Anolis sagrei: one gene and its partner. The protein of the gene in region 2 interacts with the protein of the main gene of each other region in a pairwise test. Links are inferred from orthologs where the notes say so. Each region holds a gene or a part of one and is shown on either strand. Other genes may lie near its edges.

What was found. The genes of interacting proteins can lie anywhere in the genome.
Region 1: the proteins of CYTH4 (region 2) and FOS interact in a two-hybrid assay, tested with the Homo sapiens proteins (2 studies listed by BioGRID and IntAct). The two-hybrid records come from large-scale screens. The link is inferred for Anolis sagrei from reciprocal best matches to the Homo sapiens genes CYTH4 and FOS.

What each region holds. Positions count from the first base shown.
Region 1 is NC_090021.1:305,111,152-305,118,872, reverse strand, and holds the start of FOS (protein c-Fos), read right to left. Parts: upstream 3,588-7,721; 5' UTR 3,258-3,587; coding exon 3,117-3,257; intron 1,693-3,116; coding exon 1,450-1,692; intron 1,118-1,449; coding exon 1,010-1,117; intron 1-1,009. UniProt on the Homo sapiens protein: Nuclear phosphoprotein which forms a tight but non-covalently linked complex with the JUN/AP-1 transcription factor. In the heterodimer, FOS and JUN/AP-1 basic regions each seems to interact with symmetrical DNA half sites.
Region 2 is NC_090025.1:165,885,562-165,894,003, forward strand, and holds the start of CYTH4 (cytohesin-4), read right to left. Parts: upstream 3,198-8,442; 5' UTR 3,057-3,197; coding exon 3,035-3,056; intron 1-3,034. UniProt on the Homo sapiens protein: Promotes guanine-nucleotide exchange on ARF1 and ARF5. Promotes the activation of ARF factors through replacement of GDP with GTP.

The DNA.
Region 1 (7,721 bases), on a different chromosome or scaffold from region 2:
CTTACATGAGGCCAACCCCAACAGTACAGCAAAGCATAGAGTAAAATATGATAAAATTAAAAATAAAATAAAATACAAAACAATATAAATGTATAGCCATGTTCCAGAAGCATTCTCTCTTGGCGTTTTGCCTGCATCTATGGCAGGCATCCTCAGAGGTTGTGAAGTCTGTTGGAAACTAGGAAAATTGAGTTTATGTCTCTGTGTAAGATCCAGGGTGGGAGAAAGAACTCTTGTCTGTTAGAGCTAAGTGTAAATGTTTCAATTGGCCACCTTGATTTGATGACCTGACAGTTTTTAGGTGTTGCTTGTTACTGCCTAGGGGAATTCTTTGTTATATGGTTCTGAGGATGCTTGCCACAGGTGCAGGTGAAACGTCAGGAAAGAATGCTTCTAGACAGGGGTCCTCAAACTTTTTAAACAGAGGGCCAGGTCACAGTCCCTCAAACTATTGGAGGGCCAGATTATAATTTGAGAAAAACATAATTTGAATTCCTATGCACACTGCACACATCTTAGTTGTAGTGCAAAAAACACTGAAAAACAATACAATAATTAAAATGATGAATAATTTTTAAAAATATAAACTTATTAGTATTTCAATGGGAAGTGTGGGCCTGCTTTTGGCTGATGAGATAGGATTGTTGTTGTTATTGTGTGCTTTCAAGTCATTTCAGACTTAGGTTGACCCTGAGCGAGGGCTGGGTAAATGACCTTGGAGGACCTTATCCGACCCTCAGGCCTTACTTTGAGGACCCCTGTTGTAGAACATGGCCATACAGCCCGAAAAACCTACAACAACCCATCTGGATGACCATGAAAAGGCCTAGAGCAGGCATGGGCAAACTTTGGTCCTCTGGGTATGTTTTGGACTTCAACTCCAGGCTGTTAGGAATGGTGGGAGTTGGAGTCCAAAACACACCCGAAGGGCCGAAGTTTGCCCATGCCTGGAGAGAGACAGAGAGAACCTCTGGAGGACTGGGGAAAGGCCTAGAGAAGAAAGACTCACCGATTGCAAGGTGTCGGTCAGCTCGCGTCTTCGGTTGCGGCACTTAGCGGCTGCCATCTTGTTCCTCTCACGGCGAATTCGCCGCTTCTCTTCCTCTTCTGGCGTCAGCTGCAAAAAGAGGGAAAACAGAGCTGTTAATCTCCAGAAAGAAAGAGATATAGCTCAACTCTACTTCATATTTGACTCCTAGGGCAGTGGGAGTGCATCTACAGCAGGTATGGGCCAACTTGGGTCCTCCAGGGGCTTTGGACTCCAACTCCCACCATTCCTAACAGCCTCAGGAGGCCCTTTCCTTTTCCTTAGCGGCTGAGGGGGAAAAGGAAAGGGCCTGAGGCTGTTAGGAATGGTGGGAGTTGGAGTCCAAAGCCCCTGGAGGACCCAGGTTGGCTCAAACCTGCTTAGCAGCTCCTCCTGCAGGCGTGCTGTCTCTCTGGACCTACCTGCTCGACTTTGCCTCTGCGCCCAATGCTGGTCCCTCTGCTGGCTGCCTTGACTAGTCCTGCCCTGGCAAAGGCTCCCGTCTGCGGGGCGGGCAGGCCGTAAGGGTGGCTGCGGTTCTGGGAAGGAGCCACCGAGGAGATGAGCGTAGGCTGGACCATCCATTGCAAGTCCGGGCTGGTGGAGATGGCCGTCACCGTGGGCACGAAGCCCGCGCTGGAACCCGAAAGGTCGGCGCAGAAGTCCTAAGGGAGGAGGCAAAGCAAAAAGGTCAGAGTCTCCAGAAACGCTATTTGGAGCCGCGAGGCCACCGTCGCCCGCCATCGTCAGGCTCCGCACGAGCGAACGGGGCTCAGGCTATAAATATCTCTGACGTCCGCGCTGACGCAAGCGCCGCTCCGGAGTCTCCTGAATGGAGCCGCGTTTTTATCAATGGAGCCGCTTTTTACGCGCGCGCCGAGAGCGCCCCCGCCCCTTCCCCATTCATCTTTTTTTTTTCTTTCGCGTGTCAGCAGGGGGAGAAAAAAAGAGAAAACGCCAATCACCCGCGCCCCTGCCTCTATATAACCCCATACTGAGTGGTGCCTTCCTCTGAACAAAGGGAAATATGTAGGGCGATACGGGAGATGATAATAATCATATTACTACCAATAATAAATGTCATTTGTTATTATTCCCCCCCCTTAAGACTCGTCTATACCTTCAGTAAGATTATACATTTAATTCTATGGCCAATGATGCCTTTTCTGAACAAAGGAATTGGGAATATATAGGGCACGATTATTATTTTGTATTATATTATAATATATTAATATAATATTATCATATATAACATAATGAAATAATATAAATATTATTATATCATATTGGTATATTATTATGATTATATATGTAGTATTATATATAATATAATGATATAATATAGATAATATAAATATTATATTGTATTGTTATATTATTATATAATATATGTATATATTATATAATTATATTATATTGTTATATTATATTATTATTTTATTAATACTATATTATTATTCTATCCCCTTCTAAAGGACACTCAAACGACAAGAAAGGAGCATACATCCAGTAAGTCAATATTATAATAGATTATAAGTCAATATTATATTATAATATATTATTTTATTATTATTATCCTAACCCCTTCTAAAGGAGACTCAAAGCGAAAGACAGGACCATACATCCAGTAATATTATATTATTATATTACATTATTATGTATTATATTATCCCCTTCTAAAGGAGGCTCAAAGCGAAAGACAGGACCATACATCCAGTAAGATTATATTATATTATTATTATTATTATTCTATCTCCTTCTAAAGGGGCTTCAAAGCAAAAGACAGGACCATGCATCCAGTAAGATTATATTATGATATTACATTATTATATTATATTATTATTCTATCCCCTTCTAAAGGAGACTCAAAGCAACAAGACAGGAGCATACATCCAATAAGACAATAATATTAATAGTCATAATAATATTTAATGTTCCATAAGGCTATATATCCATCAAGCATCCAATAAGGAAACATCAGCTCTTTGGAGTCCGAGCGAGGAAGGGAGAAGGGACCCACTTCGCCTGCCTTTCAAGGCGCCCCATCCAACCCCAGAAAATCTCTTCCCCGCGTCCTTCTCTCGCTCACCTGCCCGTTGACAGGCGATCCCATGCTGGAGAAAGAGTCTGCCGGAGACGGGTAGTAGGTGAGGCTGTCCCCCGCCGGAGAAGCGCTGCTGCAGCGGGAGGAAGCGGCGTCGTAGTCGGCGGCGAAGCCCTGGTACATCATCTCGGGGATTGACACAAACCCTTCCGTGTCCTTTCGGGGCGGTTCAATTCTCCCGAAAGAAGCGCCTCTCGGAGTGGCAAAGCCCGTCGTCGTCGTCTGCTGTGTCTGCTCCCCTCACTGCTTAGTTCTGCTTCTGGAGTAAAAAGAGCGGCACCTCCGCCTTTTATCCTCTTGCGGTGGGACTTCTGAATGAACGGACGTCACGACTGGAAGGTTCCACCTCGGCGGGGGGAGGCGGCGAGAGAGGGGCGGCGGAGGGACGCCCCGAAATGGGTTACTAAAGCGTGCTCGTGGCTCTCCTCGGCGACAAACCCTGACGGCGGCGTCGGGATGATTGCCTGAAGCGTCCTCCGCGGCGGGCCGCTTTTAAGAGCCGGGCGCCGCGTCAGGCTCCGCCCCCGCTCCCGAAATGGTTCGGCCCAGGCTCGGGAACCCACTGACGTAAATATCCTTATATGGCATACATCCTGTCCAAGAGGGGTGTGACTGCCGGGAAGCGCTCCAGGGCTGCGGCCAAAAGGGCTGGTGCGTGCCTGTGGCGACGGCTAGGGGGAGCGAAAGCGGCAAGAGCCGCAGCGACGGGTTCTGCATGCAGATGCTGCCCGCTTTAGTGCTGACCAGACACCCGAGGAGTGGCGCCTTAAAGGGACAGAGCACCAATTGTCCGCCAGAGCAGAGGTGGACGACCTTTGCAGGGTTTGGCCACACACAGGTCGATTTCACCTTAAAGGGTTTTAAAACCATATCCTATATAGGACACAGAATCATAGAATCATAGAATCCTTGAGTTGGAAGAGACCTCATGGGCCATCCAATCCAAGAAGCAGGAAAATTGCTCCCGACCAATAATAGTCTAGCTTGCTGTTGACCTATGCAGCCCGAAAGACAGTTGCATCTGTCAAGTAGGAAATTTAGGTATCGCTTTATGCGTTCTCGTGACTCTCCTCTGTTACAAACCCTGCTGTTGACCTATACAGCCTGAAAGACAGTTGCATCTGTCAAGTAGGAAATTTATGGTATCGCTTTATGCGTGCGCGTGGCTCGCCTCGGTTACAAACCCTGCTGTTGACCTATGCAGCCCAAAAGACAGTTGCATCTGTCAAGTAGGAAATTTAGGTACCGCTTTATGCGGGAAGGCTATTTTAACGCATTTACGATGCCATAAAACCTTCCAGCAGTGTGCAGAAGAATGAGGAAGTACTCCATCAAGGACTCCGTGTCACAAGTGGATGGTGAAGCAGCAGCTCCCCCTGTTGCCGGAATCGAGCATATCCTCATGAAGCCGAAAAAGCTGGAATGTTAAATTGCCTCTGTGTCTGTCTCTATATGTCATATGTCCAAATGGCATTGAATGTTTGCCATGTATATGTGCATTGTAATCTGCCACCTGAGTCCCTGCGGGGTGAGAAGCGCAGAATATAAACACTATAAATAAATAATAAGCAGGAAAATCGCATTCAAAGCACTCCCGACAGATGGTCATCCAGCCTTGTTTTAAAAGCCTCTAAAGAAGGAGCCTTCACCACACTCCAGGCCAGAGAATTCCACTGCTGAACACCTCTCACAGTCAGGAAGTTCTTCCTCATGTTCAGGTCCCCTCGCTCTCCTTCCAAAAGAGAAAATAATTGGATGTCTCTCATACAGCATAGATATTGGGAGTGTGGAGCTATAGAAAGGCTTCCAATGATTACTAACTGCACCAAAACACATTATAGACGAGGCATGGGCAAGCTTGGGCCCTCCCTCTAGGTTTTTTGGACTCCAACTCCCACCATTCCTCACAGTCTCAGGCCCTTTCCTTTCTCCCCACAGCCGCTTAAGCGTTTTGGACTCCAACTCCCACCATTCCTCACAGCCTCGGGCACTTTCCTTTTCCCCCTCAGTCGCTGAGTTGGAGTCCAAAACACCTGGAGGGAGGGCCCAAGTTGCAAGCAACTCCCTTTGCCATGTCTCATATCTGTCTTTGGTATGCTGAGCCAAGGTTCAATATGAGTACATAGCCACACCATTTCCAGTTCGGGTCAGCAATGTCAAGCTTACAGACATTTCCCCCCCTAACATGAGTATTAGTAATTGTGATACCAGATTGAAAATATGAGCAGATGCCTCCATTCATTTATACAGGTCCCATCGCTGCTGCTGTTTTTGTTTTGGCTTTAAATAATCTCCATCTATTTAGATCTCTGTATCATAACCCACTGGTGGTGCAGCGGGTTAAATCACTGAGCTGCTGAACTTGCTGACTGGAAGGTCGGCAGTTCAAATCTAGGGAGTGGGGTGAGCTCCCACTGTTAGGCCCAACTGCTGCCAACCTTCCTGTTTGAAAACATGCAAATATGAGTAGATCAATAGGTACCGCTTCTGCGGGAAAGTAATGGCACTCCATGCACTCAGATAAACCAGTTCAAAGCAGATATTGTGGGATCTTCTGCCCTGATATTCTGGGTTATATGGTTGTGTGGAAGGGCCCTGGGGCCTCCAATACAACTCTGTGGTCAGCTTCTGCCAGAAGTTGACTATAAAGTTACACCAGGGGGCCAGGCCCGTAGCCAGGATTTTGATTCGGGGAGGGGGGGGGGCTGAGTCTGAGTGAAAGAGGGTCTACCCTAGCAAACCTTTTGTATTGTTACCCCAATACCCCCATGCATATGGGATATATTGAGCATGGTGATCAGATCATGATACGAATAAACGTAACAGTTTAAATAATGTACCAGAAAAGCCTTTTCGCAGACCACCATGAGAATTTGGGGGGGGGGGGGCTGAAGCCCCCCAAGCCCCCCCCCCCCCCCCCCCCGGCTACATGCCTGCTAGGGGCCCATCCACACAGCCATACAACCCAGAATATCAAGTCAGATATTCCACAATATGTGCTTTGAACTGAATTATCTGAATCCACATTGTTATATAATCCAGTTAATTGTGAATTTTATACTGCTGTATGGAAGGGGCCTAGGATTTGAACCACATTGTATGGTCAGTGTAGACCCCCTATAATGCAGTTTGAACTACATTATATACAGTGACAGCATTATATGGCAGTGTAGATCTTGCTGTAACATGGGCCCTTCCACACATCCCTATATCCCAGAATATCAAGGCAGAAAATTCCACAATATCTGAGTGTGGATCCAGGGCCCTTCCACAGAATATCAAGGCAGAAAATTCCACAATATCTGCTTTGAACTGGGTTATCTGTGTCCACACTCAGATAATGTGGGATTTTCTGCCTTGATATTCTGAGATATAGGGCTGTGTGGAAGGGCCCCTATTAAGCAAATTTGTTACTAATAAAAACTGATTAGCAAAGCTGTTTATACTATGGTGTATTGTGTTGTTCTTATTATGTTGGTTTCTCTGGATATCGCAATAGAACAACAGCACAGAAATTAATGGTGAGGATGACTTCTTCAGACGTAGGCAAATATATCTTGGGAAAGGCACCCATAGAGAAGATTTATTTTCTTTTTCATTTGGGACTTTTCATTTGAACCTTTCTAGGACAAAGGTGAGCAATGACACACCTCCCAATGTGGTTGAACTGCAAGTCCCAGTTCGGCACAGCCAGTGGTGAGAAATGCTGGGAGGGGCAGTCTGGGTTAAAATGAAAAGCAGGTCTAATTAAAGGGAATCCCCATCTGACATCGCAGAGGCTGTTCAAGTTCATGCAAAGGGAAAATAAATCACTTAGGCAGAATTACGACACTTGAGTTCATTTCCAGCTGGCTCAGCATTTTACCTGGTATTAATCATGCATTCAGATGCAGGTGAAAGGACGCCAGCAATCTCTCGCATGCCATTTGCTCAAACAGTGATGGTGCAATTCTTAGCTCTGGGGTTTCAGACCCATTTCTGAGGTCACAGGGGACTCCAAAAACCCTGTTTATGTAATACCTATAATTAGGCTGACCGAAAGGTGATTGAGGCTCTCATCTACACTGCCATTAAATGCAGTTTCAGAATGCAGATGAACTGCATTGAACTGGATTATAGGACAGTGTCAACTCATACCATCCAGTTCAATCTGCATTATATGGCAATTTATGGGGCCTGTCAGACTGGATCTACACTGCCAAATATTGTAGTTTGAACTGAATTATGTGGTCAGTGTAGACCAGGCATGGGCAAATTTTGGCCCTCCAGCTGTTTTAGACTTTGGCCCCCATATTATAAAGATAGTCGAAAGGATAGAAATAGTCTCAGCTTCCAATTGCAGACAGTAACATCACATCATGTAGTCCAAGTTTCCAGTATGCCTGAAAACATCACCAAAGCAGCCACTAGTTGGAGAATGTTTGCTGATAAGAAAACAGACTTTTGAGTCACACAGAACACTTTCTTGAATTATAGGAAACCTCTGGAAGCCATCCAGGGTATTGTCTGAGCCGCACCCACACTGCAGAATTAGTGCAGTTTGATACCACTTTCAACTGCCATGGCTCCAGTTCAAGTGGAGTCAAACTG
Region 2 (8,442 bases):
CAGGGGAGACCCTGCAGAATATGGCAGTGGAGAAGCCCCATAGGCCGCAGCAGCATGCTTCCTAGCTGGGGGGAGGGGGCTCCGAGGGGCCCCTGCAGAGCCTCTGACTGTGCTTCATTGAGTCCTATGGGCTCCATGGAGCACAGTTTGAGAACTGCTGAATGAGAAGATTATACATTAAGCATTGAACTATAACTATGGACAGCAGTATAAAAATCTCCAGTCAATCATGAAAATGCATTGTGTGACTTTAGACAAGTTACATGCTCTCAGAAAACCCTGTGATAGAGATGCCTTAGGGCCTCCATAAGTCAAAAATGACTTGAAGGCATAAAACAACCGTAACAAAGTTGAGTGAAGAAGTAGCAATGGGGACACTGCAGGTACCATATTTGCATTTTAACCATCAGGCAACAAAGCATTGGGAAAAGGGTTCATATTCTCTAATATTTCATAGATAAAAACTGGGACATGTATGACTATGCAATATCAGAATATTTTCAAGATAGGAAATTATATTGGGAAGAAAGTACAGAATATTGGAGAGATTGTAATAGTTTGCTTTTGCCTGAGCCAACTGAAAAGGACAAGATCCCATCATCTTCTTTCTTCCTTCCTCTCTCCTCACTGAGTTAATTGAGTGCAAACTACTTCCACGTTTTGACCTCAGTTTGAAGCAATTGAGGTAAGCTGAGGACAAAGGTGGGGGGGGGGAGCAAGAGAATGAGAAGGAAACTAGGTCATTTTAAAAGCAGCTGAAAAGGCAGGACAACAATTTGAGAGTATGGTGGTGATGGTATCATCCTCTTTAGCTGGGATGGGAAATGTATGGTCTTTCACCAGAGGGAATTTCAGCAGTTGCCGTGCCCCCGCCCCATGACAAGCCATACTTACTAGAAGTCCCTCATCCTTCTTCCCTTTTCTGCATTTTTTAGTCAGTGGGACACTCTTTCCCTTGTGGTAGCTGACTATTTCAAAGGCCCCTCCTCTAAACAACAACCCCCAGAATTCTGCAGGAGGTAGCCACATTATTGGGGTGATTGGGGTGCAGGGTGACAGGATCTCACGCCAGATTCACCTCACTATCACCATTTGAAACTCAATGTGATTAAATCTTTAGTGATATAAGTAAATGTCTCAAATGAATTTTCACTCCACTGTTAAGGTTGCTGGATTTTCTTGGGCCACTCACTGCTTTTGAGTTTCACCTACTTCAAGAGATTGTTGCAAAGACAAAACGAGAAAAAGAATGACATACACTGTCCAATCTTCAATCTCGTTGAAGGGCAGGATAAAAAAAAATGATTCAAGGATTACAGAGTCTGAACAAGAAATGCATACAGTTTGTTTGTCTCATTATGATTTGGAATCTATTAAGAACTACTAACTAAAAGGTCAATGTTTCAATTATTAAGATCCCCAAGTCTTAGCCAAACTCTGTTCCAAACTAAAGGTACAAAACTCTTATCTTTAAGCTTGGCAGAAATGGGGGACAATTCTATAATACACATCTAAGAATGAGAGCCAATATGACATAATGGTTTGAATGTTGGACTACAACTCTGAAGAGCAAGGTTTGAATCTTTCTCAGTCTTGAAAGCTTACTGGGTGGTCTTGGGCAAGTTACACAAACCTAATCTCACCAGAGCATGGATCCACTTTACATCCAGTTTCTGCCTCCTGCAGACCGCTAAGGTTTAGTTTTGTGAGGTCCAGGACCTGGCTGGCTGAGCAGTTTACAGGCCCCTCCCTAAACTACAAGCCCCAGAATTCTGCAGGAGGCAGAAACTGGGTTTAAAGTGGATCCATGCTATAGTGTAATTAGGTCCTTTAGCTTCAGAAAACTCCATGACACGGTTGACAAAAGTTGGGAACAACTTGAAGGCACACAACAATAAATAAATTTCCAAGACTTTGGCATGCATCCATTCACCTCTTTGGCCAAGAAATTACATTTGTTATTCGCTATATGAAAACGTATGTAAAAAGATCTAGAAAACTTCTGTTTCTGAACCCAAATTTGTCTTGAGCCAAGTCATGAGTAGCAAGGGGTCAATGAAGAACAAGGCTTCTCCACCTTCAACACTTGTGTAGAAGAAGGAACTCTATTTAGTGGAGTTTGTAGTTTGTATCATACATAATTGAATTTTTCTGGGTTCCTTTCACACTATGTTTGTGTCCAATGTTTTAATTGTCATGGTTACCACATGTGAAAATTTAGGATTTGTAGTTTAAGGAAGGTGATTTAAAATCATCAGCAAGAGAGTTCTAAGTGTTTTATTAAACTACAAACCCCGGCATTCCACAGGGTGCAGCCATAGCAATAGAAGTAGACTCTTAGTGCTATAATTAGGTAGTAGTATAAAAGGATTCCTGGTCCACTTAACCATTAAAAAGACAAAAATCATGTTCTTCTTTTATTGCACAAAATATAAATGCATAGACATGTGGCCCAAAGAAAATTAATGACAATTTCATTTATACAGAACTCCTTTCACCTGAAAATGGTCTCAAAATAGTTCTGTCTTAAATACAACTTAAAATACAAGCAGACAATTAGAAAGACTTGGGGGAGATTGTAATACAGATACACCAAACAAAATCTTCATAAATAAAATGAATAAATTAATTCCACAAACAAGAAGCTTTAAATCCCTAGCCAGGATCATAATCCCAGTTGACACATTTGTCTCCGGGATCTTCTGATGATGATGCCACATGAGATAGATCCCTTAAACAGACAGTACATATTTTAGTGTATATATCTTTGAATTGCCCATTGACTTATACTGATCCCATGAATTTCATAGGGTTTTCTTAGGCAAAGAGTACTTAGAGGTGATTTGCCATTGCCTTCTGCTGAAATATTGTCTACAGTGCTTGGCATTTGTTGGTAGTGTCTCATCCAAGTATTAACCAGGTCTGACCCTGCTTTCAAGATCAGACAAGATCTGATACCTTCAGGATATTTAGGCACACATCAAAAAGACACCATAAAAAGATCTAGACTCTAGTAATTTAAGAGAATACTTACTAGTTGAACAAGCATCCATCATAACACCTTTCCAAGAAGACAGTTCCAACTCCTGAATTTAGTACAGTGGCTGCGTCATTTTGTCTTTCCATCTACGCTACTTCAGAGTTAAAATGATGTTTCAACGTGATGACAGCCTGAAATGAAGCAACCCAAGGACTCTCCTCCTTGGTGACTCCACCCTTTCCTCCTGGTTCCGCCTTGTGCATTCAGATTGACAGAGGAAACTATTTGCTCTCTGGACAGAAATGTCAGTTCTGCAAATGATCAGAGGTTGTTTCCTGAAAAACCCACAGTGTTGCTGCTGCTACTGCTTAGACTTTTATTTACATGGCAGTGTGGTTTTCATCAAAGGGGGTCTGATGAACTGCACACCAGTCAGCCCAACGAGGTTCATCCTATGGAATCAGATACTTATAATGACCTGATTCCATAGGATGAAATGGTCATGTTTTCACCCCATGGAATTCAAGGATTTGCAATGTAGAGAGGAGTATTTAGAATTCTCTGCCAGAAACTCCTAGTGCTTCATCAAACTACCAATGCCAGGATTTCAGTTAAAGTGGAATCAGAACACTGTATTTGTGTAGTGCAAAAGGGTCCGCTCCACACTGTCACAGGAGGACTACAGTACTCTTAGCCATTCTTTAGTTTTGCCTAACATGGAAGAGAAGGTGTCCCTATGCATTGTTTTTAACATTGTTTTTAGGGTTGCCATATTCCAAAATATTCCAGAATATGTTTGAGTCCTCAGGCTTCTTGTCCACAGTAAGTCTGTGATCAAAATCCAAATGATGGCATCAACTAGAGTAGACAAGTCACACTGGATCATGAGTGCAACTTAAGTATGTGCTGATTTACTCAATGTCAATTTCTTCAGTGGGTCTACTTTAAGTAGGAACTAGCATCTAGAGTGCAGAGTGCAATGGTTTGAGCACTCGGCTATGATTTTGGAGACTAGGGCTCAATCCCACGAATAACAATCCATTAGATGATCGTGGATGAGTCACACTCTCTTAGTCCCAGAAACCTTCATGATACATTCACTTTAGGGCCACCATAAGTCAGAAATGACTTGAAGACACAGAATAGCCACAACCCACCTGGATTTAGATCACCACCTCATGCTGTGCAGTAGGAAATAAAAAAGAGGGCCCATGGAGAACAGATAGAATGGAGCAGGAAGACACCAAGATGATATTGCTTTAACCTCTGCAGAAATACCTACAATGCAATTGTGCCAGAATTTGTGGCGGGCTGTGGTCTGTCTCTCCCATAGAGAAGCAACACAATGGTACATTGCATTCTTGTACCACTTCTCCATAACTTTATCTTTGTTCAGTGCAGGATTGGTGGATACACCCAATGGAAACATTCTTGACTTGATTAGTATACAAACAAAGCTATAGCCAATCTACCATCTTTCAGACATAACAGATAGAGGGAAATTACAAGTTGCCCCTAGATCAGGGGTCCTCAAACTAAGGCCCGGGGGCCAAATGCGGCCCTCCAAGGTCATTTGCCCGGCCCTCGCTTAGGGTCAACCTAAGTCTGTAATGACTTAGGTTGCACACAACAACAACAACAATCCTATCTCATCAGCCAAAAGTAGGCACACACTTCCCATTTAAATACTAATAAATTTATATTTGTTAAAATTGTTCTTCATTTTAATTATTGTATTGTTTTTAAGTGGTTTTTGCACTACAAATAAGATATGTGCAGTGTGCATAGGAATTCATTAATGTTTTTTTTCAAATTATAATCCGGCCCTCCAACAGTTTGAGGGACTGTGACCTGGCCCTCTGTTTAAAAAGTTTGTGGACCCCTGCCCTAGATGGATGAGAATTTGATTTGCTTTTTTTTATATGGACTTTCTAATATTCTTCATAAACATGGCAGAGAGAGCTTGAGCTTTCTTAAAAATAGAGAAAAGGATAATTATTTTAGTCAGTTAACATCTGAATATTTGGTTCTTAAAAATCTAGTTTTCGGTATCTGTGCATTCAGCCTTGTTTGCAGGCCTAAATTAAAACTGACTTTTTTTCTCTAACAGTCTTCTGAACCTTAATAGCTACATGGCAGGCAGGTATACATGGTCCTTTCAGGTGTCTACTAGATTTGGCAAGTAAAGATGATTCAGGATTTATTTGGTTTCTTTTTAAATAAGAGTTTGCATTAATTCTAGAAGTTCCTCTTCAGAAGAATTGAAAGAATAAAAGTTTTAGACAATTAGATAATGAGAGAAATGAAACAGAAACACTCTGCCATCCTTCCTATATACATGGTAAAGTTTGAGAAGTGCACATATACAGTATTTTAGAGCTATTCTCTCTCAATCTCAATCTCTCTCTCTTAGGGTGTATTCACAGTTTCAGCCCACTTTTACTGTTATGATTCAATGCTATGGATTCCTGGAATTTTTAGTTTGGCGAGGCATCAGCACTTTTAGCAGGAAAGGCTAGAGCCTGTGTAAAACTGCAACTCCGATGACTCCATAGTATTGGACCAAGGCAATTAATGTGGTGTCAAACAATGCATGCTCAGTCCTTCATTCATGAAAAAAGCAGATACCAGAGCTTGTCTAAACATAATGCCTTCTAATCTACATATTTTTCTCATCATTCCTAATGCTGCGGTCATGGTGGATGGGATATCTAGTTGTGTATCACCGATTTTTCATCTTTAGATGAAAAGGAGCCCCAGAAGCTGGGTTCAGAAACAGAAAACTGGACCAGCAAGGGTTGTTTAATCCTTTCTCAGGTTTATGATATTGTAAATACATAATTTGCTAAAAACCATTTCCCATCTACTTTTCCAGCCATGAAAGAAAACATGCATGTCCTCCTTAATTTTTCTACAGTGCAAGAGAATATCAATCTATTTGTGGATTTTTAATTTTAGTGGGTTTTTTTAAAAAAAAATGACAAACTGGGTTTTTTATATGCTCACTTCCAGCCTCCTACAGCTAGTTATCTTTCTGATGATAAAACATACCCCTTCAATAATTAAATCACTTGAGCAAATAACAACATATATTAATAAAGAGATTAAAACATATAAAGTGCATAATTCCATTCATCCATAATCCTTGTTCATAATCCTGCGTTCAATTCTGTAATATCCTATTCTTCAAACTGCTGTATAGTCAGGTCTTTAGCTTTTTTTGAAAAAAAAACCCCAGAAGTGCTAAGGACCAACTGGATGTCACTGGGAGGGAGTTCCATAGCCAAGGGGCCACCACTGAGAAGGTTCTGTCTCTCACTCCCACCAATCATGCTTGCAAAGGGGGTGGGGCCAAGAGCAGGGCTCCCCAGCAGACCTTAGAGCTCTAGTTGACTCATAAGTGGAGATACGTTCATACACGTAAGTTAGACCAGAACCATTTAGGGCTTTATAGGCCAAGGCCAGCACTTTGAATTGGGCCTGGTAGCAGACTGGCAATCAGTGGAGCTGACACAACAGATGGGTTGTATGCTCTCTGTACGCTGCTCCAGTAAGGAATCTGGCTGCCACCTGTTGGATTAATTGAAGCTTCCAGGCTGTCTTCAAAGGCAACCCCACATAGAGCACGTTACAGTAGTCTATACGAGATATAACAAGAACATGGACCACCTGGCCAAGTCTGACTTCCCCAGGCACAACTGGAGCTCAAGTTGCAACTTATAGTACATTTATGCTACTTTAATTGCCATTTATGCATCAGATGGAGTCCTGGGATTTGCAATTTAGTGAAGCATTAGACTTCTCTGAAAGAAAACTTTAATTGCATCATGAAACAACAAATCCCAGAATTCTATATGATTGACCCATGACAGTTATAGTAGCATCAAAGTGTTATAATTTTGTAATGTGAAAGAGACCTCACGAATCCCTTTTTCTCACATTAGAGTTTGTTTGTTTTTTTAAACAACTTTGGGCTCTTTCAATCCCTAATGTGATTTTTTTTCTCAATTTTTGACAAATTCTTCCAAAATAAACCAAATCTAAATTCTCCCCCATTTGCTCTGGCCAAATTCAATAGATGCAGGTATTTCTAACATGGAGAGGATGATGTCATAACTGCTTGTAATGGAATAGTTAATAAGAAGAAACTTGCAACAAATACTGATGATTCCCATGTCAGTTGGGCACTGAATGTACTTCAGATTTTAATCCACATTTAAAGGAGCATTCCAAGGTACTGACACCTATCCCTATGGAGATTCGGCTTTTTGAATAGTTCTTCTAAAACTGAAGAGACATGTTTCCCAAGCACCAAGCATATATAGATGAACCTGTCAATTTTGGTTTCTCCACATATTTGATTTTTTTATTTTATATTCTTTGGTTTTCAAATATGAAGACATTTCTGTAGATTGTGAAATAAGGGTGATCCCCCCCCCCCATCACTGTCCCCCTGAAATAACTTCCTGCATATTCAGCTATAATTGACCAAAATGCAATGTTGAAAGTAACCATGAGTAACTTCCCTTTTCTATTTCCAGTGGGTTTGGTTTTTTTTTTTTGGTTTGGTTGTTTTTTTTTTGTTTTGTTTTTTTTTGCTGTTTTTCAGGCTATTTCTGGGAAAATAAATAGCTTTGGGGATTGGGGGATGTTTGCCAGAACACCAGACGTTTGTGTATCTTCTGTAAAATGTGGGTGATCTATAAAGTTTGTGGGAACTTGAGAGATGGGGTTTACATGGAGCCCATAAGCTGTACTTTCTCCACCCCTAATTATATTGGAACGTCCAAGTTTCATTGGTGTCCCAAGTTTCAGGCCTAAACATAAATATTTTGCTGTCTGAGATAACAGCCAAGATAGTACCACCTGCCCAGATATCACTTTGCAGATTTATTTATTTATTTGTATCAGGAGCAACTTGAGAAACTGCAAGTTGCTTCTGGTGTGAGAGAATTAGCCGTCTGCAAGGACATTGCCCAGGGGATGCCTGGATGTTTTTTGATGTTTTACCATCCTCGTAGGAGGTTTCTCTCATGTCACCACATGGGGAGCTGGAGCTGACAGAGGGAGCTCCTCCTCACTCTTTCCAGATTCAAACCTTTGACCTGTTGGTCTCTAGTCCTGCCGGCACAAGGGTTTAACTGGAGCAAACTATAGGGAGCATACCGCACCCCTATTAAAACAGCTTCATTGGCTGCCGATAAGTTGCTGAGCCAACTTCATGGTGCAGGTCATGACCTATAAAGCCCTAAACCAGTGATGGGCAATCTTTTGAGCTTGGTGAGTCAAAATTTGCCAAAAACCTGAGCATAACTTGGGTAGAGTGTCACTTCGAGAAAAAAACAACATTATTTTGCAATATTTATAGTTTAAATAAGAAAAATGTATAATCCATGCTGAGTTATGGAGTGAACAATGCTCAAACGTGCAGATGTTAAATTTGTAGAGCCTTTTACGAATTT